Linked DNA regions of Neodiprion lecontei. The protein of the gene in region 1 purifies or fractionates together with the protein of each later gene. This does not show direct contact. Links are inferred from orthologs where the notes say so. Each region holds a gene or a part of one and is shown on either strand. Other genes may lie near its edges. The genes, in order: exocyst complex component 5, exocyst complex component 3 and exocyst complex component 8.

Region 1 (11,907 bases):
ATTCGCAACATCCAAAGTACCTGTAACAGGTCCGGCCACAGAGTTCCAAACGAAGATTATAAATCTCTGAGTTCATCCAAGGACATGAAGGCGGTTTTTTCTTTTAATTCTTATTCAATGTCAGTTAACTCGGTATGTTTATCATTTAATTTCTACCTTAGTTCAGCAGTCTCTAAATCAAAGTCGTACTTTTCTTGTCTCGGAACATAAAAACTTCCGTTAAAGAGGATCTAATTTTACTCCATAAACGAGTAATAACGAGAGCCCGTATAGCCTCGCAAACTTACTTCACTTACTTTAGAATACTTAGCCTCTGAAGAGTAGAAGCTGGATTGAAGCTGGCAATTCACTTTTCCAACATCTTTGCTAATAGTTTTCACGGAATCAGTTCCCTTTCTAAATCAGAGATTTGAAGTTGGCGTGATTTTAATCTTCCAATTAATGCTTCGACTTCAGCTGATCATAAGTAATTGATTATCAATCTGCCTTACTGCAAAAAATTTTTACTTCCTGGGTGTAATACCAAGTTCATAATTAACAAAATACAAACGATTTTAGCAATTCTTTAACTTCTTACAACGGCAGCAGCAAACTCAGCTTTTTTCCCTATAAGAACGCCAGTTTTATAAATTCCTCGTCGCATCAATTCAATTCATGATAAAGCTTTGCTTCAAACACCTCATCCTTTGTAGACATTACCATTTCTAGTTACGACACTTTTGCCCTCTGTGAATACAATGAAAATTCAATGAAATTATGTAATCTTTAAATATGCAGATTTTAGCTGGCCAATTGATCTGAAACAATGATTTCACGCGTATTATACGTATATGTCCGTTTCGTTTCTTATACCAGCAATTCAATCAATCCTCAAGTTGGTTTCTGATTTTTTTTTCCACAACTTTTTCATTCTTGGGACTCTGAACTTTTTTTTATTCCCCCCCCCCCCAACATAGCCTGCACATTTGGCTTACCGATATTTTCTTTGTTTGGCTCCGTTAAATTTATCGGAATGCTGTAAACGACGTAGAAAAGGTATTTACAGCTTTACATATTACCGTTCAAAAGTTTGCAATAACGGACTGTACAACGTTCCGTGATTTTGAACTGTGATTCATTCATCATCTTCCCAGCATTCGATTCGCCGATCAATTGTTGATTTTCCCTCATTAAATCTTGGATCCGATCCTAAATTTCCACGTTCAATTTCCAATTCAATGACGTTTCACGGTTCAAGTTAGTCAAATTTACCTGCGCATTGTGAAGTTCTTACTGCAAGGTACTAGTCTGATTGAACAGAGCTTGATAGTGTTGCATTTGTTCGTTTATTTATTTATTTACGCATAAAAATGGTTACATAATATAAAGTTTAATCTGATTATTTTAATCCGCTCTGCAATTTAAGCCACACGTCATTCTTTCCCTGTATGCCTAAAAAGGACCAATTCGTCACTCTCCAATTGCTCTCTTAATTTCCTTATGAAACGGAATTCTTCTACATCATCCGTCAATTTATCGAACGGTTCGATCTGTAATGAAAGAATTGTTCTCACATACTCTGCTTCTTTGTCCCAGTAGTAAATAATTATTCTAAATTAACTCACAAGATTGGCGGCCTCTTCTTCCAATAAACGTAGTTCATTTTTCGCTAGGTCAAATGCTGAGGTTACATCGGTCATCGCAACTTGGGCCTTCTTTCTTACTCGCGATTTTGGATTGTGCACTTTGATTTCTGAAGCCTAGACGGAAGAAAACGAAGTAAAATATACAATGTTCTTATAGGGGGCTGATGTTATTCAGTCAGAAAGTTAAATCACCATGATACGAAGCTTTACTTGAAGAATATCACGTTCTACAGTGAGTTGACCAATACTTTTCATTAACTCAGCAAGTAACGGTTTACCCGTCAAGGTATCAGGAGATGGAGGCTCAGGTATTGCTATTGGTTTTCTATTTCGACATTTTGGATCTTGAACATTCAGCTTCCCAATCTGCCCTTCGATTAGCTTGAGCTAGAAATTAATAAATAAATAAATAAAATATAGCAGTAAAATATGTGCATTAATCTACATTTTAATTTGAATGTAATTTAAGAACAGCGATCATAATTGCAAATTCGTGTTGGCTCACCTGCTCAGTCAGAGTGATCATTCTGCTGTCCATTCTTTGACACATTTCTTCTGTAGCAGGCCTACCAAATCCGTCAACTTTACTGCTGCTAGCTTCGAGAGCTTCCTTCATTTCTTCATTCCAATAATCATCCATTTCGACGGTTACGTCATCTTGCTCGCTGATACTTTGTTCTTTTTGTTTTGCAGAAGTTATCTGTAATTAGGTATTAGATTGTAATATCGCATGTCGTGCACATAGTTTCCACCATATCCTTCAGTCAATTTTAGGTCTGTTAGACTTTAGAGAATTTCGTTGGAACAAAACGAAACAGGTAATAAATTGTAATAACAATTAACTCAACCACAATATTAATATGTTTGCTTGTTAATTTAAATCTAATTTAAGAACAGCGATCAAAGTTGCGAATTCGTGTTGGCTCACCTTCTCAATCGGAGTGGTTATGTTGGTGTCCAGTTGTTGAAGATTTTGTTCAGGCGACTTACCAGCTCCGTCAACTTTACTGCTGCTAGCTTCAAGAGCTTCCTTCATTGCTTCATTCCAATACTCATCCATTTCGACGGTTACGTAATCTTGCTCGCTGATACTTTGTTCTTTTTGTTTTGCAGAAGTTATCTGTAATTAGGTATTAGATTGTAATATCGCATGTCGTGCACATAGTTTCCACCATATCCTTCAGTCAATTTTAGGTCTGTTAGACTTTAGAGAATTTCGTTGGAACAAAAACGAAACAGGTAATAAATTATAATAACAATTAACTCAACCACAATATTAATATGTTTGCTTGTTAATTTAAATCTAATTTAAGAACAGTGATCAAAGTTGCGAATTCGTGTTGGCTCACCTTCTCAATCGGAGTGGTTATGTTGGTGTCCAGTTGTTGAAGATTTTGTTCAGGCGACTTACCAGCTCCGTCAACTTTACTGCTGCCAGCTTCGGGAGCTTCTTTTGCTTCTTTCGAATGCTCATCAATTTCGGCGGCTGCGTCATCTTGCGCGCTGATACTTTGTACTTTTTGTTTTGCAGAAGCCATCTGTAATTAGGTATTGGATTGTAATATCGCATGTCGTGCACATAGTTTCCACCATATCTTTGGGTCAATTTCAGGTCTGTTAAAGATTGGAGGAATTTTATTGGATCGAAACAAAATGAAATAAATTATAATAACAATAAACTCAACAACAATATTAACATGTCAACTATGAAGGAATATTACCGCACGACTTTATCTGGCTGGTACACACGATAGCATTTTAGTCAAGCAAATAAATTATAACAACCATAAACCTAACGACAATGCTAACACGTTATCTGCGAAGGATTACTATCGCTAGACCTTACCTTTAGGCGTTTGCGGTTAAACTGCTCGCTAATCCTCTTTAGACCCGATTTGTCTCTCGGGTCATCCGCGATACACACACAAGGTGACACGTCCTTTGGACCCAAGAGCGAACACAAAAACATACACGCTCGAATTCGCAACATCCAAAGTACCTGTAACAGGTCCGGCCACAGAGTTCCAAACGGAGATTATAATTTAGAGAGAGATGGAAGTTGGGGTGATTTTAATTTTCCATTCAATGCTTCGACTTCAGCTGATCAAAAGTAATTGATTACCAATCTACCGTACTACATCAAATTTTTGCTTTCTAGGTATAATATCAAGTTCCTAATCAACAAAATATAAACAATTTTAGCAATTTTTTAACTTTGTACAAGGGCAGCAGCAAACTCAGCTTTTTTCCCTACAAGAACGCCAGTTTTATAAATTGCTCATTGGGTGGATTTAATTTGTTTCATTCAGAAGAATTATTTCAACACTTATACACGTGTTTTGGTAATCCTTCATTAATGTTACAATTCATGCGGCGTCTTGTTTCTTTTTTCTTACTTTCAAATTTGAATCTTTTCTTCGCGCTTCACGGTATACGATTGGTAGAACTGGTTTCTGTAGAATCGAGCCCTTCCCCAATTTCTGAATTAATCGAATCATGATCGAATCAAGCATCTGTCAACCTCTTACTTCGTGCTATCAACACGCCCCACGCAAGGCGACAGATCGCTTAGCAGTTTGATGACGCCGATATTATCGTCAACACATTCGGCAAAAACAACGAAAAGATGATGCAACAATACATGAAGGAGCTGGAGCAGGCAAGTACTAATTCCCATGTGAAAACTGAATTTCTCGTCGAATTCCCGAAGGGATATCAAAAATTCAAACCATCATAACCTAGTAAAAAAATATAACACTCAGATGCGTTAGATGATTTTTAACAAATTTTTTTACTAGTACGTCAGTTCTCCATTCGAACGTATTACCAGATTTCAATATTCCTGTATAATTCCAGTTTATACTTTCTCTCTACTCTGTCTAGAAACTTATTCTCCATAAATAGTAATTTCACTAACTATGCCTACTTCACACTTGCAAACCGTGCAATGATTCTTGTTAATCTCATGTAGAAAAGGGTTTATACCTGTCGACTATAAATAAATAAATAAATAAAACATTCTCCATTCTTTCCACTTTCTATTTCAGGAGCCGTTCGATTCCGAGGAATTTGTGGAGCGCCTGGCTTGGAGAACTGTTAATGACACGTTTAAAGACGGTGGAGACAAGAGCTCCTTTGATCCAGTGCTGGTCCACGAGACGTTTCTGCAGGCAATTAAGGATTTGAGGGTGCTACAGGAGCGACAACAGAAAAAATGCGACAGGCTGGAGGCGGCATGCAAGGAGGAGGAGATTAGGCACGCGCTAGAGATCCTCGAACTCCAGGAGAAGAACAAATACGCCATGAAGTTGTTCCATCAGCTTGACGAGAGAATCAACTTTGTCGCCACGAAGGTGCTGCACCTGGGTGACCAGCTCGAGAGCGTCAACACTCCGAGAGCACGCGCCGTCGAAGCCCAAAAGTTGATGAGACACTTTGCAGAGTTTCTGAGTCCCGGGCCTTTAACGGACCCAGTTTTCACCGACAAATCGTCGGTGCGTAGAAAACGAGGCTTTCCGGAGTCGTTTAACTTTTCATTATCGATTGCTTCTGATTTCCCAGCTTGACGAGGCAGCGGACGTGATACAAAAACTACATTTGATAGCACAAGAGCTTCCATCCGACAAGTTTGACGGCGCCAAAAAGAAGATCAGCGCTAAGTACGACGAGATTGAGCGGAGCTTGATAGAGGAGTTTGCCAGGGCTCACAGCGGAGAAGACGCCACACGGATGAAGGAGCTGGCCTCGATCCTGTCTCACTTCAAGGGCTATTCGCAGTGTGTCGACGCGTTCATCGAGCACAGCCAAATGGGTTCGTTCGGCGGCAAGGATGTTTTTCAGGATGTCATACCGATGTGCACCAAGAACTACAAACTGATGCAGCAGGTATTCGCTAACCCGACTCAAGTTATGGCCAAATTTGTCCTCAACATTTACCATCTCAGGCTGCAAAAATACGTTGTGGCGAAGCTTACCGATCGTACGGACTCCGACAAGTATCTGAAGAATCTTTATGACCTCTACTCAAAGACGATCAAACTATCCAACGATCTGAAGCGGTTTGATATGGGAACAGACGAGGCTTACCTCGCCAAACTCACCAGGAATATCTTTCAGAAACATCTCGATTCCTACATAAGGTAACACAGGCTCAGCCGCCCACTCCGTGTCCTGTTTTTGCGCTTCATTGGCGGTAGACCAACAAAGAATTATATTTCCTTGATTTCAGTATCGAGACCAAGTCTCTCCGTGAGAAGTCTGCATCCCTGTTGATCAAGTACTACGAGTCTAAGAATCACCAGAAAAAGCAACTGCAAACCGGGGGCTTCCAGGAGCTGAGGAGAGACTTGCAAGCCGTAATCGGCACTAGAACGAACATCAATATAGCCCAGATTGAAGATTACGGCGGTGAGACCTTCCTCTCCGAGGAGTTGGCCATCGCTCTACTCCAGGAGAGCAAACTGGCTTTTCAACGGTGCCAGATCCTCTCACAATCAAGCGACTTACCTGTAAACGCTCTGCAGATACTAGAAATCCTGCTACAGTATCTCACCAGCGAACACGTTGACTATGCTCTGGAATTGGGACTCCAAAGTGTCCCCATACCTGAGAGCGGATGTCAACCTGAAATCCACTTCTTCAACGTAGTCAGACGGTGCAACGCCATCATTCATCTGCTCGAAAAGCAATTCAACGACAGCCTCGTACCGCTAGTCATGTATGCAATTGTTTCATTTCAAATAGAGATCCGTCATTAATACTTTTTTGAAAACCTGGATACCTGATGTACAGAAAAGTTTACATTGGTTCTGACTTACAAGGAATTCTCGTTAGCAGTTGAAATATCTTACGTTTAAATTATTCTAAAGAAATGACCCCGTACTAATCATCTCACGTCTCATAGATCAACGTCAAAGCATGGGGATTGCCTGGCGAAGAAGAAAGCCGTCTTGGAGCAGCTGGAATTGAAACTGGACACGGGTTTGGACCGAAGTATAAACGCGATAGTTGGCTGGGTGAAAATTTACTTGCAGAATGAGCAGCGCAAGACAGACTTCAAGCCGGAATCGGACGTCGATACGTTGAACACCCCTGCCTGTTTAGTTGTGGTTCAATACGTTTCGACGATGATAACTCACATAAGAGACAGACTGGACGAAAAGAACGTCGAAAGTGTTCTCACAGAATTGGGGGTCAGATTCCACAGGGTGATATATGAACACTTGCAGCAGTTTCAGTTCAATTCTGCCGGCGCAATGTGCGCCATTTGTGACATGAATGCTTACAGAGAGTGTGCTAAAAATCTCAAAGTCAGCCTAGTCACGAATCTCTTTGACACATTGCACGCTCTCTGCAATTTGCTCCTCGTCAAGCCTGAGAATTTGAAGCAGGTCTGCACTGGGGATCAATTGGTAAGTTTTAAGTTACGACACATCGATTTCTGGCTTCTATAAAAGCATCGGTGATGTTTGTAATATCATATCGAACTGCAAATCCTATTTTTTTTGCAGGCCATGCTCGACAGGTCCATATTGATAAATTTTATACAGCTCAGGACAGACTACAAGACTCAGAAGTTGGCAAATTGTTTGAAAGGCCTTGCTGCCTAGATGGTAGAATTCAACAGAGAGAAGCGATCAATCAGTTTTCACAGCTTGCGCAAAGAACGACTGATCATCTCGATCTTGGTTTTAAGAGGAATACGAAAACGATTGAGGTATAACGATAATATTTTGTAAATAATAATCGTAATATTTAATACATATATATTATTATATATATACATATATGTATTATAGTATGTGTATATATATATATAATTATATATATATACCTTTCCAAGCGGAAAGTTGTGTAGGAAACAAACTGTAAATAACTAAAGCTCAGTGTATATTGAGACACAATTTCATTTCGAATATAATTTTCCCTTCATTTTTTCTTCAGTCACTTGAAACAAACAATCAAAGGGCAAAGAAATAACGAAAATTCGCGATATTCATAGCAAATGTATTAATTTTATTGTTACATACATAATTATATAATCACGTTGCAATGGAACCCTGGCATATTATGGGACTCAAAGAAATGGGATGAGAGTGGGGAAAGAAGTTTGTTTTTCGTGTTCCGTTTTCCGTTTTCACATCAATCTAACAAACAGTAATGATTCCTTATAAAAATTATACATAGTATAATATATACAGCTGCACTGTGACTTGGCAGTCTGTCGGCATGATTAGAAATACGTTTGCCTGCTGGTTTGACAATTACCTGGTCTAGTTAGCAACCTAGTAGAAAACCGATTTTACCTGACTAGAATTATCAATTCAGACAAAGAAGATTCTCCGTTGTTACAATTATTATGTGAATCGAAATCAATAATAGAACAATAATCGATAGCCTAGTCCCTGTGTCGATAAATCATTTACTTCCACGTTCGATGATGTGAATTGGTCATTGTTTTTGAAATATTGGCTAATATTTCATTATCGCTTAGATTTGAATTATAACCTATTCGGAGCATATACTATTTTTCATCGGTCATTGAAGTCGAACAACAAAAATAATGTTAAAAATAGGAGCTTCAAAAACTCCGAATTGTTAGTCTACATTTCAATTCCTATACTTCCAAGTAAATATGTAATTTTATTGGTACTAGGAAAAAAAATGTATGAACAAAAACAATAGCATGGCAAAAGGATGCTGTTGCGGGTAGAAACATCCTTGCCATTAATCGAGAATACCATTTGTCTGACAAAAGCGAGTTAAAATCAAGAAAAAACTAAAAAGAAGAATATTTGATGTAAGAACCTGTGAGCCAAATATGTTATAATTAAGATAACTTACAGGGGATTAGTATTAATTGTATAGGAAAATTCATCTTTGTGATGTTTGGTTAATTTGTCCCTCTTCAAGGAAGATCAATGTAAAGTATGGTAATTTTTTAATTTTTTTTTTAATTTTTATTATTTCTTCTAATTTCTCCTAAATAAAAATGGAATCCCATTTTTCCACAACGGATTATCGCGAACATCCAAGCTTCTCCTTTTGACCCACGGCTCGGGTCAGGTCGTAATTTTTGTCGTTATCGGACCAGAGTGGCACGGCTGAGTGAGCCACGAGAATTGGCCGAAAGGCGGACTTAATATCTAATAGAGAATGCGGAAGTAGCTAGATCAATTTTCGTATTTTCTCTTTATACGCCAAGTGTGAATCAGCGCATGCGGTACGTATTAGTTTCGTGCACCTCGCACAATTCACCCTTGAAGTCAAGTTCGATGCTGAAGTCGAGGTCTCGATTATTTCTCGCGTTGGGCTTCATTGAGAACACTCCATATATTTCCTCCCCTTTTTTCACAGTCATGTAATCGTCAAAGTAAAATACAGTCTGTTTCCAGTGCGTGTACTGCGCCTCAGGCGCCGTACTGAATCCTATGCGTTTGTGGCACTTGGTAAACTCTATGTTGAAGAATGTGACCAGAGCCTGGACGTAGTCGTTCCTTCTCACCTGTAGATTGAACGGCGACGTGAAATCCAGGTCCGCCTTTGTTACCGTGTACAGATCGACCTCTTTTATCAGGCAAGCATTCGTCACAACCTGTTTTGGGTCGACAACGTCCACCAGCGGCTCGCTTATCGCAACTTTCCTGATACTGCTCATGTCAAATCCGTAGACGTCGTCCCACCAGTTTATCTTCTCGTCCTTATACTGGCGGTCCTCGATGCCGCATATGAAAAGTGTCGCCTTGTCCGGAAACAGCATTCCGTCTTCACACAGCCACTTATCTCGGGCAAACAGGACCGTGTCCAGCATCGATTCGTAGAACAAGCAGTAGCCCATCCATTCGGATATTATTATGTCTACCTTCTCAATACCATCCGGCAGAGTCACTTCCTCCACTTTTCCCTTCAGGATCGTTATCACATTCGAGAGCTGGTTCGCCTCCACGATCTTCTTTGCGTACTCGACTATGTTCGAGCACTCAATGCCGATGACGCGAGCCGCCCCTGCCTTGGCTGCGAACATCGACAGGATACCTGTGCCGCAGCCTATGTCCAGTACCGTTTTACCCTTGAACAGGTGCTTGTTGTGGTACATACTGTTTCTGTACGTCATTGTCCTTATCTCATCCTTCAGCATCTCTTCATGAATCCCAAAGTGTGCATACGAGTCGAAGTAGTAGTCTCGCGAGGTCATATCGTCCACTGACACTGCCTCCTTGTCATTTGGCGTCGCTGCGTCCTTTCCCAATGGCACCACTGGCTCAGCTACTTCCATGGTTTCCATCTTAAGTGTCTATAAATGAGAAATTTTATTTATTTATAATTAACAGGTGTAAATCCTTTAATACACGACAATAAGTACACTTTAGAATCCATTGCATAGTAGCAGGTTTTTGTGCAGATATGGTTTGAATCTAAAATTACACATCTCAAATAATCTATGATACTTTTTCTTTGGACGAAATGCGCAAATGACTTTTTTAGGATACCACTTAGGATGGGTATAATGATTGATAGTAATCTTAGAAATATGTTTCTCGATTAAATCAAAAATGGAACAATGTAATGATTCAACATGGCGATTTGAGAGTAGATCAGATACATCAACTTGACTGGGCACCTCGGCAATAAAGTTGTTCGGCTCAGCAAGTTGTTACTAGTGGTAAGAAGCATGATATCGAGAAGCAAGTGAAAGGCATCACAATAAAAAATTGAATCATGAGAAATATTGCAAGAAGAATTTGATAAGTTAGAGAATATAAGATTGAACACATTGCCTCTCGAGATCAAGATATTGTTGTTGTTGCTGAGACTAAAAGAATGAAAAAAATCAAAGGGCAAAGAAAGCAGCACTGCGAATTTCAACATTGACAAAATTCCCCAACGTCTATACATTTTTCAAACAAAAATACATACACTCTGTATATGATTTTAGATGTGAATTGAAAGAATATCGATACATTAAACATTACAGATCTCAGAACAAATTCAAATTTTCTTTTCAGGTCTGCCGTAATCCCGAAGCTAGATAAACAGATGAAAATGCAAAATACTAGTTAACGAACGATTTTAGAAATAATTCACTAATACTCAAATGCGTAAAAAATTTAACTGTATGAATTCTGGTCTGATGGTAAATTTTACAAAACACGAGGCGAAGGTTGTTTGGTTAGAAAACTTAAGAAGCCGGTGGCCGCGACTGTTTCGTGTAAAGTTTGAATTACGGCGCTTGTGAGATATCGGATAAAATTTGGATATTCTTGGACACGTGTCGATTTTACTTACGATAGAGTTCATGTGCGTTAAACTAATCTACGAAAGGTTGTCGGCTGTTTGATTGACCAACTATTTAGCCCGGTTACAGCGCGACGCGGTATAACTCGCGATGATCGTGGAAACAAAATGAAAGCCTGCGTCCGTGACGGCGGCGTTCGACTCGTGAAAACGTCCACGTGCACGCGCCAAAATAAATGGCGTCTAAATTACCGCATTGTCAGGCGTGAAAATTGCGGCCATTATGATGTGCGGCTTTCGGGGCGTGATTGGGAAAATCTGTAATATCGAAAAGAGCGCCAGGCATTTGTACATTCTTTGTATTTTAGTCGGCGTAGTGAAATCGGTCGACTTGGCGGCGCATAGTTTTAGTCTGCTTTACCGTCCGACGAAACTACGACGATGACGACGAACCGAATTTTCTTATACCAAAATTGCACCATCGGAAACACGATTTCAGGGAATATTCTTTGAACGAATATCCGTAGACCTTGCACAATGTCGCGAATATCGCGCGGCTCGATTTTACTTTATCAAACTACAAACTCACCGTGTGATCGCTGCCAAGTGCGTTACTCTCGCTGATGTCCACCGGCACTTCGCTGTTCGCCGCCATTTTTTATTTCGCTCTGGCTATTCAGACGGAATCGTCGCCCCCGTAGTTTCACATTTTTATCAACGTTGCAGCAGCCGAAGCAGCCGATGCGTCCACTGCGCCGCGCAATTGCCCGCGAGACTACATCTCCACTTCATCGTCTCACCGTTTTTCGCCCGGCTTTAACTACGCTGATAATGGGTAAAAAAATATTAAACACCAATTAGTCCATCGTATAGCGCCGATTTAGTCATCATCGATTCGTTTTAAATACGTATTTTGACGTTCTTCGACCCCCTGCGAAATGCGGGCCGCCATACAGGGTCGCCAACGCCTTTACAAGTTCCAAAAAATGTCTCTCGTCACATGGTTCGACACGCTTGGCGCGTATTCATCGAGATCATTGATAGACCG
Region 2 (10,061 bases), on another chromosome or scaffold:
CTGTACGAAGCTCAGCCTGAGCGTTATATATGTGCTTGGGTACGTGTCTTTTACGAGCGATTTTCCGAACTTGCGGATGACTGGCAAACTTGTCTTTCAAAGCTGCGCTGTAATTGAGGGCTGCTTTCTCTCTTGGTTTCAACTGGTGAACGCAAAGTGCAAAATTAAACAATCAGCGCAAGTAACGCTAGAGAGGAAAACGTAGAAAAAAGACTAACCACTCCAAGCTTTTCGGAAGCCCTAGACTTCCAAATTCTGATGTTCATCTCGTCACTACCACACAAAATGTACTTGTCGTCTAGTGACCACCCGACACAAGTAAGCCTTTGCATACGTTTAGTGTGATAAACGTCTCGCGAATGACCTTTAGCCACATCGAAAATTCGGATCGATTTATCATATCCTCCAGAGACAAATTCCTTACCCGTCGGGGCGTAATCTACATCTACAACTGCACCAACGTGATCCATGTGCACGTTCACAGGAGACTTCAATTTTCGCGTATCAAACGTGTAGAGGCTGAGCGAGAAAAAAAATTAAATTGTAAAAACTGGGATGCCCCGATTTATAGCCTCGAAATTTTATGTAAAAAATGAGTTTTACTTATAATCCTCGCTGGCGCAGGTAAAAACAAAAGCCTCCATCGGATTCCACGATATCTTATTGTTTCTTAGCTTCATGACTACTTTTCGCAGTGGACCAGATTCCCTCGTATCATATAAAATTGTGCTTCTGTCGCTGGCACAGGCAACTGCAATAATAAATATAATGAGATTATACTATAAATATGCCCAGATCTTAGTATAAAAATAGGATACAATCATACGTCATTTACCTAACAAGTTCGTTTGGATAGGATTGAATTTAACATCGTGTAAACTGTCCACACCCCACTTCAAAGTCCGCACAGGTTCATTTCTGGTCTCTTCCCAGATTTGACATACCTCGCCACAGGTTGCAAACACAGGGTCTTTTCGATGATGACTCAAGCCCGTTAGGACAGTCTGCAATTTGACAGTAAAACACCAAGTTGATTTAGCAGCTCTTTTTATTTACCAACACCATAACTTGCGTTTGAATATCCCGCCTAAACTCCATACTCGTCAAACTCGGTGTAGATAGCGCCAATGTTCTAGTATTTTTTTTGCGAGCGTAAAATCAAATAATATATTTGTGCCAAAACTGTCAAATAATTTTCGCGACAGTATATCTGTGCAATAATCAAAATATATTTGTTTTCCACAATTGACCCATGCTTAAAACTGTCTATTACGAAGAGAAATGAGCTACTTGACAAATAAATTCATTAAAGTAAGTGTTATTTAATTATGAAAAGTAAAGTTTTATAACTCAATTTTTCAGCCTCTGTAAAACAAGTAACTGTGGCCTCAACTACGCGAGGGTCCCAGTGAAGACCCCTATTGACAGATAACCTTCCATAAATAGCAGGTCCGTTCAGGTCACGGTCTTCTACAAAATTCTGAGCACTCAGTCTCTAAAACTCATCGGCATACAGAATGGACCGCGCGTTCCCTGCCTGAGCAATGCACAGAATATGTCCGCCGCTGTGCAAGCGAGATAAAGCATTGCAGTGTTAATCGCTGTCTCTTTCCAAGACCGCTATTGATTGAATATCCCACCGCGTAGCTGAAACAAGAACACGAATAGGCCCGTACTGCTGTCCGTCTCTTTCCATTCGGCGGACACGTTTTTGGCCCGCTCTCGCAGTCCATTCTTTATGTCGATGCTAAAACCGTGACCTAAAAATGTGCCAGGTGGCGCCGGTGAGGGGGAGGCTGGCTTTTATATATGCCTCTTTGTTGCACACCCTGCACACTCCGGCTACCGAAATTGCAGCGTTATCAACACGGTTACGCCGCGCTCTATGGCAAAAAGATCGGAGTTGATAGAAGTGCCCGCATCTGTGTAGAAGACAGTGGTTCTAGTTCACTAATTTTGATAAGACAGTTTTCCAAGTTCTTTACCAAGCACCGTTACTCTTCTATCTTAAAATTACTCAACTCCATCAAGATGGTAGAAAAGAACCTTGGCAGACCATTTGATGCTTGTAAGAGATTCAACTGTATTCCTTTCTGGGTGTGAAACTTGTTCAAAGTAGTAAAAATTGAAGTAAGCTAATAACTTTTTACTATTCCAGCCTTGATCAAGCGCATCAATTTAAATGTACCAGCCATAAATACCAGAGTTAGATATATCATTGAAAAGGCGAATAGTATTACCGAATGCAACCGTGTAGCATGGCTGATCAAAGCAGTAACATGCATAGATCTGACGACACTGGGTGGTGATGACACTTTTGCAAGTGTTGAAAGACTCACTAAGAAGGTGACATTAAATGCAGACTGTTTGGATGGATGTGATCTAACAATTTCAATATTTTCAGGCTGTTAAGCCTATCGTATTACCATTTGAATGGGAAGGCTCTCTGTCTACTGCAGCAGTTTGTGTATATCCTGCGCGTGTCGCCGATGTTGTGCAAACATTGAAAAACCTTAATGCCACGGGAAAAGTCAACGTGGCTAGCGGTAAGAAATGTCTGACTCAAAATTTCACATAAAAACAACAACGATGAGTTTACAAATGTCCAATGATGTGCATAGTTGCTACCGGATTCCCAAGCGGTCAATATCCGTTGCAAACCCGGATGGATGAAATTTCGCTCGCAGTTTCGAACGGAGCTACAGAAATAGATATTGTCATAAATCGAACGCTAGCGTTAACTCATCAGTGGGAAAAACTATACAATGAGATTAAATTAATGAAGCAAGCCTGTGGAAAAGCAAAAATGAAGACTATTTTAGCAACTGGTGAACTTTTTGACCTCAAAGATGTGTATAGAGCATCAATAATCGCAGCGATGGCTGGATCAGATTTTATAAAAACTTCTACCGGAAAAGAAACGGTAAATGCTACCTTACCTGTTGGGATTGTCATGTGCAGAGCTATTCGGGACTACCATAACTTGACTGGTTACAAGGTACGGGCAATAAGTTAGTAATTTCGTTCGAAATACTTTTGGTAACACTTGCGTATTTTCAGGTCGGATTTAAACCAGCTGGAGGTATAAAAACTTGGGGAGAAGCGCTGCAGTGGCTGGTATTGATCAAGGAAGAACTGAGCGATGTATGGCTCCATAATAGCCTGTTCAGAATCGGCGCTTCGAGTGTGCTAGGTGACATCACTAGCGAGATTAATAGGTCTTTGGATGAAGTTAAAGAGGCTAAAGTACCTACTTTATACGAGCATGAGAACTTTGATGATTCAGACAAATAAAAGTATCTTCAAAAACTTGCGTTAATTTTGTTTAATAATTTAAGAGGATTTTACAGATACGAACTCACCTTACTAACAATGGTGTTAATAGGATCCTCCTGTTCTCCCGTTATTGAACTTTCTGCCTTCCAGGTCTTTATAGTTTTGTCATCGCCGATACTCAGAAAGCTTTCCCCATCCGATGAAAATGCAATACCTCGAACTATACCGTCGTGAGCCAGAAACGAGCGCTCGCATACGCGTTGCGATAAATTCCACACTTTAATCTCTCCATCAAATGCTCCGCTCAAAAGCATCGATAACTTTAGAGGGTGCTTGGAAAGACAAGACACACTGTCTTTGTGGCCATCCAAACTCCCTATGAATGGCTTGGCGAATACTCTCTCTAGCTTGACTGCATTTAAAGCCCTTGTATACTCTCTCGCAGCCTCAAACGGATGCAGGGATGGATCGTAGTTTCTGGGAACTAGAAGAAATCAAGTATTTTAGTAAATATGTATAAAAAATGAAAGAAAAAAGATTAATTTTCTTTTTTGTCGGTTTCGCTGCAAATCCAGTGTACACAATACGGTTTATAGGTTAGAAAAACTAGGTAGAAATACGTGCAATACCTTTATGAATATCTCGTTTGGTTTCTCTCAGATATTCATCGGGATTTCTGCAGAGCACCTTGACTTTCATTTTGGTACAGGACCAGCCCTCTGTCGTAAATTATCCAATATGTAAGTCGATTGATAATTACAAAACATGTGAGAAAAACGCACTATGAAATCTAAGGGCTACTGTGCCATGTGTATGAATCTGTATGAACTATGTTTGAAAATGAAGTAACCTAGGATTGGTCGGATCTAACGGAACACACTAATGATATCGCTTTATTAGCTAAAAACTTCGCCGATCAAGAAAATTAAATGCAACATGGCTCTGGTGTGTAGATGGGGGCTCATGGGGGCGTCAGCTGTGTTATAACCTCAAAAACTGACGGCTGTCAAACGCTTACTATCAACAAACAGAGTGATTGAGGTTTAAAAATAATAATGACGAACGAGAGCGGAGAAAAAATGCTGGACCTTCGAAAATCTGAAGAGGAAGCTAAGGCAACAGCGACGAAACACATAATAAATATGCTCCAGCGTCCTGGTCAGCTGGAAAAAGTAGAACATTACAAGCGTAGGATCAGTCGGAAAAAAGCTTCGATTGAAACGAAGTTGAAAACTGCGATGCAAAGTCAATTGGACGGGGTGAGAGTCGGTTTCAATCAGCTTCAAGAGTCGCTGGAAAGTATCTCCTTGATTAAACAAGAACTGGACCTGATCGGCGAGTCATTTGGCTCCGCTCCTGAGCTGAACAACACTCTGCAGGCTGTTCAAGATGAGAACATGCGACACTCGCAGTACGTCACCGCTAAAGAGAACCTGAAACACATATTCACTGTTCCAGAAAGCGTTGAGAAGACGAAGCAATGGATAAACGAAGGAAAACTTTTACACGCCCATCAGAGTTTGATGGATTTGGAGAATTCGAGGGACGACTTGCTGTACGAACTGCACAAGCTGCCCAATCAATCACTCGCCGATAAAGTCATGCTGAAAGCGTACTTTGAAGATGTAGAAACTTTGTCGCAGTTAATGGAAAAGCAAATTAAATTGGTTGTTGGTCGCACTTTAAACACTGTCAGAAAAGAACCAACCATCATTGTTACGGCGCTGAGGATAATTGAACGGGAAGAGAAGGCGGATCAGTTTGCAATTCAAAGGCATAAGCAGAGCGGATTCATGCCTCCGGGAAGACCGAAGAATTGGAAAAAGATGGCAATTGAAGTATTGGAGAAATCTGTGGCCAACAGAGTCGAGGGAACTCATGTAGATGAACGAGCAGACAATAAAATGTGGCTGGCAAGGTATCTGGAATTGGCACGTCTCCTCATCCTCGAGGACCTAAGGGTGGTAAAAACACTGTGCGGACCTTGCTTCCCACCCTCTTACAACATAGTCAGGAAGTTTGTAGAGATGTACCATAACAGTCTATCTCAACACTTGAAAGACATAATAGCAAATGGCCTAGAGGGTAACGAATACGTATCTCTGCTTGCCTGGATAATGAACACTTATACAGGTGTAGAACTAATGCAACACCCGGAGCTGAACATCGACACCAGTGATATAGGACCTTTGCTGAGCAACGAGGTCCTGGAGGAACTGCAGGATCAATACTTGAAGAACATGCAACAGAACTATGAAGAATGGATGAAGAAGACATTGGAAACTGAAAAGGTTGACTGGTGGAGCGGAGTACTGCCAGAAGGTAGTACGCAAGAAACCTATTACCACACGGCAGCACCGGTAATCATATTTCAAATGGTGGATCAGAATCTCCAAGTAACGAAAACGATCAGCAATCAACTAACTGCCAGAGCGCTTGTCCTTTGTATAGACCAAGTTGTGAGATACTGTGCGGCGTATCGTCAGGCCATACTTGAGTTCAAAAGCAAACATTTCGAGGATCGGAGCAGAGTTCCTTACTTCACTCACCACATGATCACCATTGTAAACAATTGCCTTCAGTTTATTGAACTCGCTCAGCAAATGAAACAACTTTACTGGGTTTCCAATGCCAGCGGTGATGCTGCTGTCAGGTTTGAGGCTCTCCTGGCCAATTACCAACAGCTGAGAGATGAGGCGGCGACCATTTTATTGGAGGAGTCGTTCCTAGACTTGGAACTCCACTTCCAAGATCTCCTCACCCCAAAATGGCTCTCCTCGCCGATACCCGTAGAAACGATCTGCGTAACCTTGGAGGACTATTTTCAGGACTATAATCACCTTAGAGTAAAGAATTTTGAATATGTCATTACAGAGGCTCAAAATCTGATAGCTAAACGATATATAGCAGCTATGCTGCAGCGAAAGATATCGCTAAAGACGTACGACGAATGTCTCACTTGCACATCAAAAATTATGACAGAGGCTGATAAGATAAAGAATTTTTTCGTCAGAATTGCACCCAAAGTGGGCAACTTTGATTCGCCTTTCGAAGTAATAAAAAGACTGGCCGAAGTACTGCGTTGCGAGGATTCTGAAATTTTATCTTTGGATCTACATTCACTCGTTGAAAAATACCCTGACATGACCGAAGATCATCTCGTACGATTGTTGAGTCTCCGAGGAGACATACCGAGAGCTACAGCTAGGGAAAAAGTAGCGTACATATACGAAGCTCAACGTAATCGAACAGCTCCACAGCCCATGCCTAATAGTATATTTAAGCAAATTGTCATCCAGGATAGTTTCTTAAATTGGAAACCCTGAGTACTGTAAATAAATAATTTTTCGTCTTGTATAGAAATTTGTCTAGTTATTAAAAATGGGAAAGGTTTTTCGGTTCACTTCTATATCCCACTCCACAGAGCTAGCTGTACGGGCATTTCTGTCAGAAATTGTGCTCTGCATGTTCAGCCAATAAGTATACATTCAGCAATGTCGGCAAAATTTTCTTCAATCAAACGTGTTATCATTTGTAGCTGACGTCACAATTCGAAACGTCTTAATTCTATTCTGAAAAAAAAATTACACTCGAATATAGAAGGTTCGTTGTTTTTCAGTTTGAAAAAAAAACAGTCGTCTGACAGTTGCGCACAGCCACGCGTTTGGCGAGAACACGAAAGTGTGATCTAACCTCAAAAACCCACGTCAATAGTGGCTTGAGCCTCACAGGCATCACTGAATCAAAGATCTTCTCCTCGAATGAACAATAATTAATAAGAAAGTGAACTATTGAATCAATCGTGCTGTCAAAAAACATTTCTCTACGATGGCATCGACGAGAGAGAGACGTTCCAATGCTGGGAATAAAATGGCAAGATTACTCAACGAAGAAGAAGAGGATGATTTCTATAAAACTACATACGGAGGGTTCGAAGAAGTCGAGCAGGATAACGATTACATGTTAGTTAGATGAGAATTTCAATTGACAAACATTCTGTTTAATATTTCCATAAAATTAGTATTTCACTCACAGAATAATACTTCATTGTAATGTTGTTGAATACTCAGGGAAGAGGACGAAGGCGAGGATGAAGTGGACTCAGATTTTAGTATAGACGAAAATGACGAGCCTGTTTCCGATCCCGAACAAGAAGGACCCAAAAAAAAACGACGCCTTGTTACAAAGGCATACAAAGAGCCTAAACCTACCTCAGCACACTCACATTCTACTCCTAAAGAGAAAAAGACTAAGACACCCAGGCAACGTCGAACTTCTATTGACAATTCAGGTATATCAGGAAATATCAATGGCGATAAACGTGATCATAGCCATTCGATCAGCAGTATTTATAGCCTCATGCCAAACTACTATCCCCGTTTCGTTTTAAAGAGAGAAAATCCATTCGTCGTTCTACTGCTGCAAAGTCGGCAGCGACCCAAAGACGACTCAAAGAGAGAAATGAGGATCTGAAGAGAAAAGTTAAGACTGTAAAGTACGACGTTTGGAAGCCAACGCAGGAAGAACTGTTGGAGGAAGCCCTCATCACGGAGGAAGTAAATTTAAAATCATTAGGTAATGAATAATACTGCTGGCAAGTAAAAAGACATGATTGTCTGTGCCGATGGATGGTTATTCAACTCATACTTTTAACATGTTTTGACAGAAAAATACCAAAAGTTAGAGAACGAGAAGAAAAACACGAGGACAGTGCGAAAGACAAATGTTGGCCCCATTATACGTTACCAATCTTTGTCTATGCCTGTTTTGATGCTGTCTGAAACACAAGCTGACAAAGATGAGGAAAAAATTAACGTCGAAGCTGACGATGAAAAAAATACCACTAATACAACCAGTGATATTCTAGAACCTGGATTATCACCTCCCTTGTCTGAAAAACAGTGAGACTTAAATTGGTCGTTATTTGTGTAAAGCCTTTTGCAATATGCAGACCGCAATAAAAAACAAAAACGTCCATAACTGCCGTAGTTCTAACTACTTTCAAAATTATTTTTCAGAGAAATAATGGATCAACAAAAAACTATTGACGGCGGTAACAAAGATACACCTATTAAACAGAAGGGAGAATCGAGCTCAGCTCCTAATGAAGCTGAAAGTCAAATCATTCATGAAGATACAGGTTCTAAATACGAAAGAACTTTCATCACATTTGAAAACGAACGACTTTTTACGGAAGCTTTCAAACGTACACCTGCTCCTCGCCCCTCACTAAAATCTCTTTGTGCAATTACAAGGTAAGTTACGGCCTTTCGACATTGATGTATTACTCCTGAAGGTGATTACTTTGAAATAATCAGGTACTAATACACTATATTTTCTGAATGATTTTAGACTTCCTGCACGGTATATGGATCCAGTGACACAGCTACCGTACAGAAATATACAAATGTTTAGAATATTAAGAGAGGCGTATTATCAACAGCTGGAATCTCGTGCAGAGACAAACGATGCTACTCAAAACCTTGAATTGGTACGGTGGCTTGAATGGCGTCAGAAAAATCGTCGCAATAATAACAGAAATACGATTCGTCTGGAACCCGCTTCAGTGTCGCAGGCATCTTAGCTGATCCTTCTGGTCAATCGCTATTCCTTGTAGCATTGAACAGTCTTTTGTCACATCATTTGACATGACACTGGATAATTATTTTATCAAATGCCTGCTTCAGTATTTTCATACGAAAATGAGAATGAAAATCGAAAAAATCGAAGCAATTTACACCACTTTCCCTTTCGAAAATATGGAAATTGCTTCTACTCTGTTGGGTAGATGACTTCCTTCGAGGGATTTTAAGAATTGGGATTGGATTAAAAAATATCTATTTTTTAAACGAACGGAACGAGTTTCAATGGTTTTTATTGTTTTTTTTTTTTTTCTTTTTTTTTAATAAAGCTTTGCCACTTCACATTAACTAGTAGAATAAGTTAAAGTTTTTTTGTTTTCATATTCTTTATTGCTAAAATGCAAATTTATCATTTACCTACATGGATTTAATCAGGAAACCACAATCAGCACTAAGACGTTTTCTATTTGATACAACGAAAGAGACGTCTTTATTTCAATATGAATAAAATTAAATGTGTAGAAAAAAAAAATTAGGTATGTAATTGTAATTAATAATAAGGTTAGTAAATTACGCATATCATAAGGTTTTCATAACAGTGTGTTTAATTTTTTAATTTTTTCTTTCTCAAGATTTTTTTCCTTCATTTCTTCTAAAGCATGTTTTGTATAGTAATTAGGAGTTGTTAATCTCTCGTGTAGTGCGCGAAGCCTAGACATTTCAAGTTCCACAACGTGTTGTTCGCTGTTGCCTTTGCTTCGATTTATTTCATTCAGTTCCAAGTCATTCTATTTTACGACAAAGATGGTTCTCGCAATCTGCAACGCGTCTACACGCGTATCAAACCAATCAATCATTTATCTGTACATGCTCAAAATGTCTTCCTGGTCGCAATCTTAAATTAAATTTAAATGTCTACGTGAAATTGTTTATTATTTTTTTACCTTTGTTTTTTCATTTTTTAAATTAATATTTCACACGTTTTTCTGGACACGAAGCTGTTTGTAAAAAATAAAGTCGAAAAGCATACAGTTTAGTGCTTGCGCGTATCATTTTATTTTAATTCTACTACGTGCGCGCGAGAGCAAGTAGTGATCAACATGGAGTCATTCCCATCTTCGTCGTTTCGTCTTTATTGATATTTAGTATTTTCATTACGACGTCTGCTCTGCACAATTATCATTGTAATTGTGTTATTATTTA
Region 3 (11,200 bases), on another chromosome or scaffold:
TCACAAGCGTCAAGTTCCCGGATAGATAAGACTGCGGATAGGTCAACTGTCACTTAAAATAAATATGCAAATATATAAATAAATAAATAAATAAACATACACCTGTATACTTTTTACAGAATCAGTGAACGCCTTAAAGATTGAAGTAATAAGATAAAGTGTGCTAAACGGACGTTACGTTTCGGAGTCTCGTCACATTCGTGTGACGGTCAATTGACAATGTATAATTACTTCCCGAATAACGAGAAAATGAGGTATTTTTATTTAGTGCCAAGAACTTACAGAATTGAGTAACATTTCTCACTCAGTGACTAAAATAGAAGCACCTATTTGTTCGAGACAAAATATTGAGCACACACGCCGATCACCACTTATTGTTTAAAGTAAAGTAACAGTAGATTAACGTCGCCTAATCCGTTGATTATTGGCATTTAAACTTGAATAATTAATTCGATTACGCGACGAAAACCAACGATCAACGTTCACGCGAACGTGACGATGTTTGTTCTTGTTGCTCTTTCTATCTCAGCCTTTTAAACTAAATTCAAACTGAAACTTCAACGGACATCTGATCGACCAGAACGCCATCAGTTAGCGAAATTAAAAACTGCCTGTAACGGATAATTTTTTACACTACCTTACCGACAGATTCCGACTTTGCTTTGCTTGACTTTGCGCTTGGCATTGCGCTTATGATAAGAAGAGTGCGTGACTATTACATACATTCTTCGTATCGAACAGACAAGATTAATAAATTAATAGTTAACACCGTGATTTCGGAATTGATTGATTAATTGAGAACCATGGATCTGCTTGGCTCAATTTTAAATTCAATGGATAAGCCACCGAGTGTGAGCGATAAGCAGAAAGCATTGATGAAAAGTCAGTTTCGTACATAACCCTCCTTTCTGCAAATTTTTTTTTTTTCACTCTTCAAACAAGTTACGATAACGATTAAACAATTACCACGTATAATAAGTGTACCATTTATTTAATGAAATCAATTTTACACATTTTATAGAGCAACGAGAAGAAATTGAGAAACGTCAAATAGTGGAAGCGGAAAAACTGAAGGTGTTTAGAGAAAAGGTATGACGAATGATCCTGAGTGATACAATTACGATATTCCAAAAAACACTTGACCATGATTGTAGATATTTTACTCTGTTTGTAGGTTGAAGAAAAGATAAATAAATTTCTGCAAAATGGTGCGGCTCGAGAATGTAAATTTCAACCTATGGAACAGGTCTACAGAAGCATTATGTAAATAATTTAATTTATTTCGCGCCCCAATCATTATATGTATTACACTTTGAGTAACCAAGACCACTTTTACTCTCTCAATTCAATCTTTTTTTCAAGTCTGAAAATTGTTTCCACCAAAAAATATGAAAAGCTAGAAATTAACTCTATATTGAGAAACCGTTGTTTTTCAGACACGATGTTGCAGAAGTCGCCAATGTATTAGCATATTCTTTTGGGATGGAGGGAGTCGATAGATATATAATAATATTTAAAAGGGAATATGCTCCAACCGAAGACCACTTAAATGCATTGCGTAGAGGAGAAGAATGGAATGAGGAAATAGCCAAGAGATTAAACGAGGAAAGAGAAAGACAAGCTAAAGAAGATGAGGAAGCAAACAAATCTAGGAAGAGAAAACAAGAATTTGTACCGATAACCAATTATAAAGACAAGTATAAGCATCTGATTGGAGAAGAAGCTGCCTTACAAGCAGCCAGAAAAACTGAAACTAATCGTAGTTATGGATTTGGTAAAAATTTATTCAACTATTCAAGTTACTTTGCCCAGCATCATGCTCGTGGTTCACCAACGAAAATTTTTCTTATACCACCTCGATTCTTTTTTCAGTCCCAAGTGAAAACAAAAAAGATCAGCGAAGTATTGAGGAAACTCTAGCAGATATTCGTGCGAAAAAGAAGAAGACTGAAGAACCAGCAAATCAAGCATTGGAACCAGAAGAAGAAAATGTCCCTGAATGATGTGAGCTTAGTTGAATAATTATGTTGTAGAGTGAAATTAATTGCACTGCTAAACTGTAAATAGGTAATAAGTATTTTTCTGTTCTAATATAATTAGTTATCGTACATTAGATGAATCACAATCATTCATTGGCATTGAAATACTACGGATAAACTACAGAGCTTTATTCCGTTTCTTTCAAGATGCCACATGTGATTAATCAAGTCCCGATTGCAAAGTAACCTGTGCACCAATTTTGTACAGAGATCGTCATTATCTTCTGACAATGATATTATTAATCTACATGTAGCTTGTTATTTAAACATAACACATATTAATTTATTACCTGAATCCTAAATATATTTATATGGGATGCATTCTATATTAATTTTCAATTCAATTTAACACGTGTTATGTTTAAATAAAAAATTCAATGTAGATTAATAATATGATTTACCAATTTTGTACAGAGATAGCATTATCTTCTGCGAATGATATTATTAATGTACGTTGAATTTGTTATTTAAACATAACACATGGTAAGTTATTAGCTGAATCCGAAATATATTTACATGGAATGCGCTCCATATTTATTTTAAATTCAACTTAATACGTGTTTATCGGACAAACTTTAGTACTATGCTTTAATCGATACGAAACAATATTCATTCAGCGTTAACAATTGAAAAAAGATGAGTTAGGTAATGCTGTATTAGTTTTAAATTTGTAGAATTAGTATGCGATTCAAAAAGTGCTCTAGTTATATAGAATACATGAAATAGGAGAAATGTCAGCGACAGACTGATTAGTGAATAAGAATAATTTCGTTAATTATTCATGTCCGAGAGTATGTTCTTTATTGCATAAGTTCCTTCACACGTACATGTATTGTTACTCCATAAATTCGAATATTACTAAAGTTTGCAAAAAATATGTCGTCAAGACTTTTTATACCAATTTTTCTCGTTATCCATTTGTATCTCTGGAAGTACTGATAATGCGATATAATAATAGTTCAATTTCTCGTTTCTTTCTGATAAATATAATTAGAAGAAAAACATCTTGTAGAAATGGTAGATGCGTTTTTAGCGTCGTGAAACTATTCATTACACATACAAGCATACAATACTTACCAAGACAAATAATTACAATCATTCAATATTATTAGGCGTTTTAAATTTTTATTTTACATATATATTAATATAAAATTTGACATACCTTACAAGTGAAAAATGAGTCATATATATTCTGTAGTCGAGTACTTTGTAACTGCTGTTCTTGGCGCAGGTCTAGGCTTCGTTGCGGCAACAGGTTCGAAGACAATTTGATCTTTCAACGTGACTAGTTTTGTAAATGGTCTTGCTGTCGCACTTTGGTAAAGTTCAAGTCCTCTACCAATTACAATGTCTCTGATATAAACTGCATTATCTTCCACCACTTTTCTCTGTAACAGTAAATCATATTGATTAGACATTCGTGATCAATCCTCAAGTAGTGACGATCACTAATTATTACCTCTTGTTTAAATTTTGGATTACTTAGAGATGCCAAAAGGTGTTGTACTTGAGCTCGCATTACAGATACAAGAACACTGTCTATGGTTATCATCAATTCTGGTGTATTAACGCTAAGACAATCCTCAAGTAATCCAACGTACAGTCTTGAGAATGCCAGTGTATTACTTGTCAGTGATAACCATGTTTCACTTGTCATGTAAGACAATGGAACACCAATTCCGAGATCTTCAAGCTCTGTCATAAGCTTCTGGAGGTTTTGGCTAGACTGATTGGACGGGCGCCAAGTATCCTCAGCTGCCCGAACCTTAATCGCGTCAACGTACTTTTCGCCAGCATCTTGCAGAGCTCTAGCCAATGGAGTTCTGAGATGGCCATCCAATTGGTAGCGAAGATCTATACCCAGCTGCGTCAGCTACATATGAAGTTATTGATAAGAACAAACGACTTCTGTATTCAATTTCAATAGTATATTACTGTAATTAAACGCTTAACAATTGCTGTGACCATAATTACCTGATCGCAGTGGCTCCTTACAGCCACAATGCATTCTGCAAGCGTGTTCGTAGAAACTTGTGGTATGAAAACTTGTTTAATCAAATGTGACGTTAAATGGTTGACCTCTTGACCACACCAGACTACCAGAGCTGTAAAAGATGTGATTAGAGGTTAGCTTCATTGAATTCTTCAACATACGTGATGTACTGGACAGGTTTAAATGTGATCTAGTGTATTTTACCTTACCAGAAGTGCAATTCGCAGAATTTGGGAAAATACGTAAAAACTCTCTAGCCATTTCAGCCACGTTGCTAAAGGCGATGGCGCTCAGCTGTTTGACGTAAGGTATTGTGGGGCCTTCTCTTTTAACTCGTTTCAATTGAGCTTTCAGTGCAGCATTACATAATCTTAAAAACAGTTGACAAGCTTGGACACTTTGATCCAACTGAATTAATAATCTTACAGCTCTTCTCGCACTCCTCAGGCCTCCCCCTTGAAGTGACTTTGCTTCAGAACTCAATTCCAATTCTTTGGTAAGAACGTCGACCAGAGACTGTGCTCTATCGTCAACTTTAGCCTTGATACCAACTAATACAGGCGTTGTTTGAGCTTCGCTCAGATAAGATCTTGCTTTCTCTAACAAATTGTAAGCTTCTTCAAAATGACGTTGTGCTATACAAGAATCTAGGTCCTCGGCAACTTCTAACAACCATTCGGGTAGAGATTCGGTACCCTCTGCTTCTGGACTATCTTCCGTGCCTGGTTACAATTACGATCATTAATTTTTACGTAATATCCTTACATACCGCCTAAAATGCGAAACTCTACTTACTGAAACTTACCTATTGTGTTTGAATCTAGAGACATTGAGCGAGATGGTGCTATGTGTTCATCTTTTAGATTTCTATCCTTATCAACTGATTTAGTTTGATCTTCTTGCACTAGTCTTGCTTTTTTAGCTTGTTCACATTTATCCAACCATTCTTTCTGCAAAAACGTACAAAGCATGAAAATATATTCCAAAATCTTGGAGAGTTTAATATATTCGTGTTTCAACTACAAAGTTACTATCGGACTGCGTAATAGGAAAAATAGGTCTGCTAATAACCTTGCTTGTTGCTGTCGCACACTGAAAGACCCTCGTATCAGGAAAAGCCAAGAGTTTGAAGGCTAATTTGACAGTTCCCAGATCTCTAACATTGACAACGGCTAAACTCTGCAAATCATAAACAGCTTGCATTTTATATCTGGGTGGGCCACGCCTTCCACCAGTGGCTAACCATGAGGCGATCATTAGAACGTCGTTGAATAAATAGGCGTGAATCCTTTTCAGGGGTGTTCCTTCCAATGGGTCAAGTTCAAGCAGAGATCCTTCGTGTAAACAAATCCGACCTGGTGTCTCTACCAAGCTCTGTAATAAGAAAGGTTTCAGATATCACAAGTGAAATGTTTCAGCTTAGATTTGAGTCTCTAGATTTTTTCTGATACCAAACTTCCATCAAAAATAGATACTACTAAAAATCAGCTATCAGAAAATGCGTTTCATCCAATAATATACCATAAGTTGTGGATGTAAGAAAGTGGTGAATAATCTGTCTTACATAGAAATTGTGATACAATCTTACCAAATTGATTGAAATATAGCTGACAAAATAATTCGTTTTGCATCTAATATAATAATGAACAATGATTTAATAAATTTTTTATTTTAATTTGAAACTGACCATGGCACCTTCAACATTCTCCAGTAGTTGAATCAGTTTCGATTTTTGTTCCTCTTCTTTGGTACCAGCATTATGAGATTCCCCATTTTGAGTTTCTATGTTCTCATCAAAAACAACCCCAGTCGCACCGATAGCACCAAGAGTTCCCAAAAGTGAGCGTTGTTCTCCCAGTAATTGTGACAACTGATACATTTCGCTTTCCAAGTGAGATATTTCCTTGGCTGTTTCGATAAACTGCATATAATTTTGGTAAACATTTTTTTTCAATTGTGCCGACGTGCTGTCAGCGAGTATTTGAATCTTTGCCCTCTGCTGTCTCAGCTCGTCCACGCCGACGCACTGACTGCTCAACTCTTTGACAACTGTAATAGATGAAATAAACTACACGTGAGTAGTAGAATTGATAATCGTATATTATGTAAATGCACTAAATTCTGTTAATTAACAGCACAGCAAATGAGGACCTTATTTTTAGATTCAAGTAATTTGTTAAATACGGCGGAAAGTTTTTAAATAAATAACGTATTGTATTGGTTCACTTATTGAATAGAGCATTGTTCGCATCGTTTCATTTCATGATTCTATCTCATTTGAGAACATAACCTGTATTAGCATATAAGAATATTGCTTAAAATCTATTCAAAAGTAGAAGAACTTACATTTTTCTGGATTAAAGTCATCGGAACCGAGATTTTTCATCAGGTCAGTCATGTTTGCGTGTATTCAGTATTACCTTTGATTAAATACTATAATCCGACAGACGTAAGGCTCGTCACGCCTCCCATGACGACATGACAGTTGCAATTTTATGTGCTTCTCGCTTTTGAAAGGAAGGAATTTTATTCAGTGGGATTATCAAGAAATCTTTTGACAACTACGCTACGTGTATGATAAATGTGGAATTTATTTGAAACTGAATTAAACAATCCATGAACTCGAGGTATGTACCACACTGCTTCACGAATTCCGAATGCGAGAGTTTTTAGGGATGAGTTAGGCGACATCTAATAATAAGGGGGGGGGGGGGGGGACATACAAAACCGATAGTGTCGCACTCTATCCGAAAATTTAACGGACATATCAACTGAAATACAATCTTCATATTGACTTGTCAAATATTTTAGAAAAGTTCTTTTGTTATGATGTTTGTATAATTTTTACCGAAGCCACGTCATTTCAGGGCAAATTTTCGGATCTAAGGAATGACTGCTGCCTCATGAAATCGCGAATGATCTGTTTCTGTCAAAAATATTGTAACAAGTAGTTCACTCAATTAGTACCGTACATGTATTCGTGTTTCTGACAAATCGTGCCCAACTGCACAGACGCTGGTATGTCGTACCTCTAAATTCGTATAACGAATAAATATAGAATTTATCCAGCTTGATGCAATGAATCTGATGCAGCAAACGTGTAACGATTAACAGCACTCCTTAATCCATCCGTGTGATTGACCATACACGACTTGCACGCCTAGATGCACACAATTGCATGAAAGCTATTGACAATCAGTGAGATATTCACACACGTTGAAATCACATATGACCAGTTGAAAGTAGTATGTGTGTACAGTACAAAGCCCGTGACAGTCTCTGCCTCCCACTGAAACCAAGGATGCGTATACAAATGAACAACTGTTGAAAATTAATTAAGAGGTGGCAAGTGGTGTGGCTAATTCGCGTCTTAGTTTGTTCTTTTTTTTTACAAGTACAAGTCTGTTAGTTATTTAGTTGTCCTAATCTCATGACACATTGTATTTTACTCACGCAACAAGTGGCTTGCAGCCTTACAGAGACGGCTACAAAGGCTTATTAGTAATTGGATATTACCCTGGCTTGAAGAGCTCGTAACAACAACATGAGTTCTTCGGTACCGGTTGGGAGCATGGCTGGTATGGAGACGGTTGTTGCAGTCGCCCTTGGTGCTCTTGCTGCTGTTTTTCTTGGCGCGCTTCTCGTTTTGTTAGTCATTTGTAGAAGACAACGATGCTATCATGTAAGTTTGCCATTTATACAACTTTATATACTTAGGTAAATAGCTCAGTGGTCGTAGCCTGTATTATTTTGTATCCTTATTTATAAAACGAAATTATTCACTTACTTCCAAGCTATTTGTAACGTTATACCAATGGCCTTCCAGTAGAAAAATTGAACCATTTCTGTTCATGCTCTGTACAGTTTCGATATACTTGGATGCCACATATTGCATTGCATCCTTTATTTGAATATTATTACCGATAAGCAAGATACCGCTTTCATAGCTTTCTTGGATTAGTTTCATCATCAAAGTCTTCAGCTTTGTAGGTGATCACAAAATATATTTTTTGATAACGAAACTGATGTAATATTTTCAGAAACAGAAGGATTCCCATGATTTGAATTCAGATTTGTTGGAAAGCGAAAATGGTGGAGCTCTGAGTTTGGATGCTTGGGAGGGCGAAGAATGGCTGGTTAATGCTGAGAGGTGAAACTCAGCTTTTGATAATTGGATGAATTAGACTTAGTCCTGAAGTATAATTATCTTTGATCATTTAAAGGTGGGTTGACGATGCGACTGGTTTGGCTCCACCGTGTATAGCAGTGCTAAGATCATGCCATTCCCTGGCAGCGAGTTTGACCAAAATTGCTGGAACAGTAAACAGCAACACAGTACCTCTTGAAATTGTAGACGTAAGTTGAAACCAAAGAAAAAGATAAAAAAATTTCAAACCTATACACACATATGCATAATAATTTAGATTAAAATTCAAGCTCACTATTACTCCAATTTAGGTTGCCAGACGCATACCACCAAGGGTTGATGATGTTGTACGTAGCCTCTACCCACCCCTAGATGCTCGTTTACTGGAAGCAAGAGTAGCAGCTCTAGTTTTAGCAGTCACCAACTTGGCCCTCGTTACGAAACATGGAATACCGAAAAGTCAGGCAAGGAAGTTGGCATTTATCGATCAGGCCCTCAGTGACATGGATTTACATCTCTTAGTTTTACGGGAAGCCGCACTGGCACAGGAAGCAGCTTGTGCCATCCCAGCGTCTACCTCAGTGTAAGCTTCCATAAATGTTGATCAGCAAGAGCGAGAAATTTTGTCTTGACATGGGGAATTTTTCTACCTTTAAAATGCAAGTATGGAGGGTCAAATCCTCTTGTTTATTTCACAGATTAAAATGATAACTAAAACTATGAATTCCGTTTCGTGATATTTACAGTTGATATATCAAAGCTGTGAGTCACCATTCAATTTTTGAAGCGGCATAGTTTTATCGTATGATTCGCTGCCCTCTTACACCAAGACAATATGTTTCATTTGTATATGTATTCCAAGTAATATGATTAACTTCCAAAACCTCAAAGTATTTTCAATTTTTGAAACTCCTGTTCATTGTTGATGTTTTATGAAGATATTTTGTGGTTTTTAGATTATAAAATAGACTATATTTATGTATGTCATATATTTATATAAATGCGCAATCAAATTTTTATACGATTTTACTACAATATATATATGGTGCGTTTATACGAACAATTTACGAAAGAAACTTGACAGATCTACAAAGAGAATTCTTTTTCTACTTGACCTTTGTAAATATGTTACTTTTTATCTATTCAAATGATTCTGTCAAGCTACACGACGTTTCGTGAATGATATTCGCCCAAGAAGTTTCAAGTATTGGAATCTGTAGTTAACCGAATCAACCTGATTCATTAAAAATAATCTAATATCATTTCGAGCCCGGAAATTTATCTCGCAAACACGTGGTAGATAATTTCAACTCAGCCATCAGTGCCACAGATTATAACAATATTGGAACGAAATCTATTATACGTCAATAAAAGAGTGGCTCACTATGGCTGACTAATGCATTGTTATTACTTATATATCTATATTGCTACATTGTACATCATTTTGAAGTTTGAGATATTTCTATTTAAATATGCACCTAATACTGGAATAAACCAGTATATGTTGCGGCGCAATGATTCTATTTTTGTTAATACATGCATATCAAGAAACAAGCCATACATTTACACTTGTATTCACAGATATATTTTGTATTTACTAATCCACATCAAACGACGAGTAAACAACGTAATATTTTTGAAAAAAATTTAAAAAATTCCATCTAATGTATAAAATTTGTTACTGCAATGTTAAACGAATGAAAAAGGATATTGTGAGTTTTTACTAATTACCATATTCTTTCAAGTATTTTATTAATATTCAATAATTAGATTCAAATTACAATCTCTGAGACCATAGGGATTTAATCCCAAAGGGCAACGGTTTCTGTTAATTAATCAATTAGGTCATTGTAATTAGTTATTACTGATTTATCGTTTTAAATAAATTAGCTAAGATAGCTCAAGCCATCTTCGTGCTACACAGCAGCACCAATTTAAGATGGCAGGCAAGTTTATTTTTCGGTAAAATTTCTATATAATTGGGGGTGCAATATAAAAGGAATAAAATGGTTTTCAGAATAACATCAATTATTTGCCTCTATTAGCAAATTCTTTTTGATTTTTCTGATTATCCTTCAACACCTTGGTCTTCAAGTGTTCTTTGTAATTTAAGATGCCACCTTGCCATTTTGTTACCGTCCCATTTTCACACACCCAAATTTCTTCCGCTACCTGTTGAAATAAAAAAAAAAAATAATAAAATGAGATATAATCGGAGAACCTGATTATAACAAACTATTTAATTGTCACTAAGTATAAACGCACCTGATTAATTAGTCTAAAGTCATGGGACACTAAGACCATTCCCCCATCAAAGTCGTTAATTGCATCTGCCAGAGCATCAATCGTTTCCATATCAAGATGATTGGTTGGCTCGTCAAGTAGTAGGAGATGCGGAACTTGCCAGGCGAGCCAAGCGAATACGACTCTGCAACGTTGTCCATCGGACAACTGGCGAATGGGACATACCTGTTTCAAATCATACAAGTTATTGCCAATACCCAATTAGAAAAAACGTTTGGTACCAAAAAATACACAAATAACAGTGAGTTCCAGGCGGTCGATTAAACAGTTAGAATACCTGCTGTCGCCCAGTTAATCCGTATCGACCGATTATCTTCCGCATTTCTTCGCGTTCTTTGACGTCAGGGAAAGCCTGCATCATGTAATCTAGAGGTGATAGGTCCAGATCCAATAACTCATGTAAGTGTTGGTGGTACCTGGCAATCCGGAGATGGCTGTTTTTACGAATCATGCCGCTACTGGGCACCAACTGGAAAGTTTAAATTGAATGACATGACATTTGATTTCTCGTAACAAATATTGGCGATGAAAAGTGCATATTTCTATTGCTAACAGTTAAAATACGTTGTCTTATAATGTGTTCAAACAAAGTTTTAGAGCGTCTGATTTACATGTAATTTAAGCAATATATCTTATCTAACACAGAGTACAGAATGAAACTTACTTCTCCATACAAAAGTTTAAGTAATGTACTTTTGCCAGCACCGTTAGGCCCAA

Evidence for each region.
Region 2: the proteins of exocyst complex component 5 (region 1) and exocyst complex component 3 purify together in Homo sapiens (affinity purification with mass spectrometry; 7 studies listed by BioGRID and IntAct, counting the BioPlex papers as one, with this or other methods). This does not show direct contact. The link is inferred for Neodiprion lecontei from reciprocal best matches to the Homo sapiens genes EXOC5 and EXOC3.
Region 3: the proteins of exocyst complex component 5 (region 1) and exocyst complex component 8 purify together in Homo sapiens (affinity purification with mass spectrometry; 5 studies listed by BioGRID and IntAct, counting the BioPlex papers as one, with this or other methods). This does not show direct contact. The link is inferred for Neodiprion lecontei from reciprocal best matches to the Homo sapiens genes EXOC5 and EXOC8.

What each region holds. Positions count from the first base shown.
Region 1 is NC_060266.1:860,911-872,817, reverse strand, and holds exocyst complex component 5, read left to right. Parts: upstream 1-4,138; 5' UTR 4,139-4,251; coding exon 4,252-4,284; intron 4,285-4,672; coding exon 4,673-5,119; intron 5,120-5,186; coding exon 5,187-5,764; intron 5,765-5,853; coding exon 5,854-6,342; intron 6,343-6,528; coding exon 6,529-7,036; intron 7,037-7,135; coding exon 7,136-7,234; 3' UTR 7,235-8,170; downstream 8,171-11,907. Other genes in the region: uncharacterized protein LOC107219461, read right to left, coding at 1-20, 297-396, 492-532; uncharacterized protein LOC107219467, read right to left, coding at 1,413-1,529, 1,605-1,739, 1,818-2,012, 2,131-2,325, 2,554-2,745, 2,975-3,163, 3,472-3,624, 4,022-4,138; protein arginine N-methyltransferase 1, read right to left, coding at 8,836-9,918, 11,449-11,514. UniProt on the Homo sapiens protein: Component of the exocyst complex involved in the docking of exocytic vesicles with fusion sites on the plasma membrane.
Region 2 is NC_060260.1:913,566-923,626, forward strand, and holds exocyst complex component 3, read left to right. Parts: upstream 1-4,226; 5' UTR 4,227-4,331; coding exon 4,332-6,602; 3' UTR 6,603-6,639; downstream 6,640-10,061. Other genes in the region: DDB1- and CUL4-associated factor 13, read right to left, coding at 1-142, 219-519, 604-751, 836-1,004, 3,363-3,760, 3,906-3,975; deoxyribose-phosphate aldolase, read left to right, coding at 1,810-2,068, 2,159-2,346, 2,405-2,546, 2,622-2,998, 3,061-3,294; vacuolar protein sorting-associated protein 72 homolog, read left to right, coding at 7,105-7,238, 7,347-7,567, 7,669-7,851, 7,943-8,177, 8,295-8,531, 8,629-8,860. UniProt on the Homo sapiens protein: Component of the exocyst complex involved in the docking of exocytic vesicles with fusion sites on the plasma membrane.
Region 3 is NC_060263.1:37,097,267-37,108,466, reverse strand, and holds exocyst complex component 8, read right to left. Parts: upstream 6,520-11,200; 5' UTR 6,431-6,519; coding exon 6,379-6,430; intron 6,101-6,378; coding exon of another isoform or gene 6,082-6,100; coding exon 5,720-6,081; intron 5,407-5,719; coding exon 5,104-5,406; intron 4,983-5,103; coding exon 4,838-4,982; intron 4,755-4,837; coding exon 4,242-4,754; intron 4,145-4,241; coding exon 4,014-4,144; intron 3,913-4,013; coding exon 3,499-3,912; intron 3,428-3,498; coding exon 3,221-3,427; 3' UTR 3,145-3,220; downstream 1-3,144. Other genes in the region: sperm-associated antigen 7 homolog, read left to right, coding at 804-882, 1,022-1,089, 1,175-1,263, 1,437-1,774, 1,873-2,003; transmembrane protein 98, read left to right, coding at 7,577-7,714, 8,073-8,182, 8,256-8,388, 8,491-8,762, 8,878-8,887; ATP-binding cassette sub-family F member 2, read right to left, coding at 10,208-10,351, 10,445-10,648, 10,761-10,952, 11,148-11,200. UniProt on the Homo sapiens protein: Component of the exocyst complex involved in the docking of exocytic vesicles with fusion sites on the plasma membrane.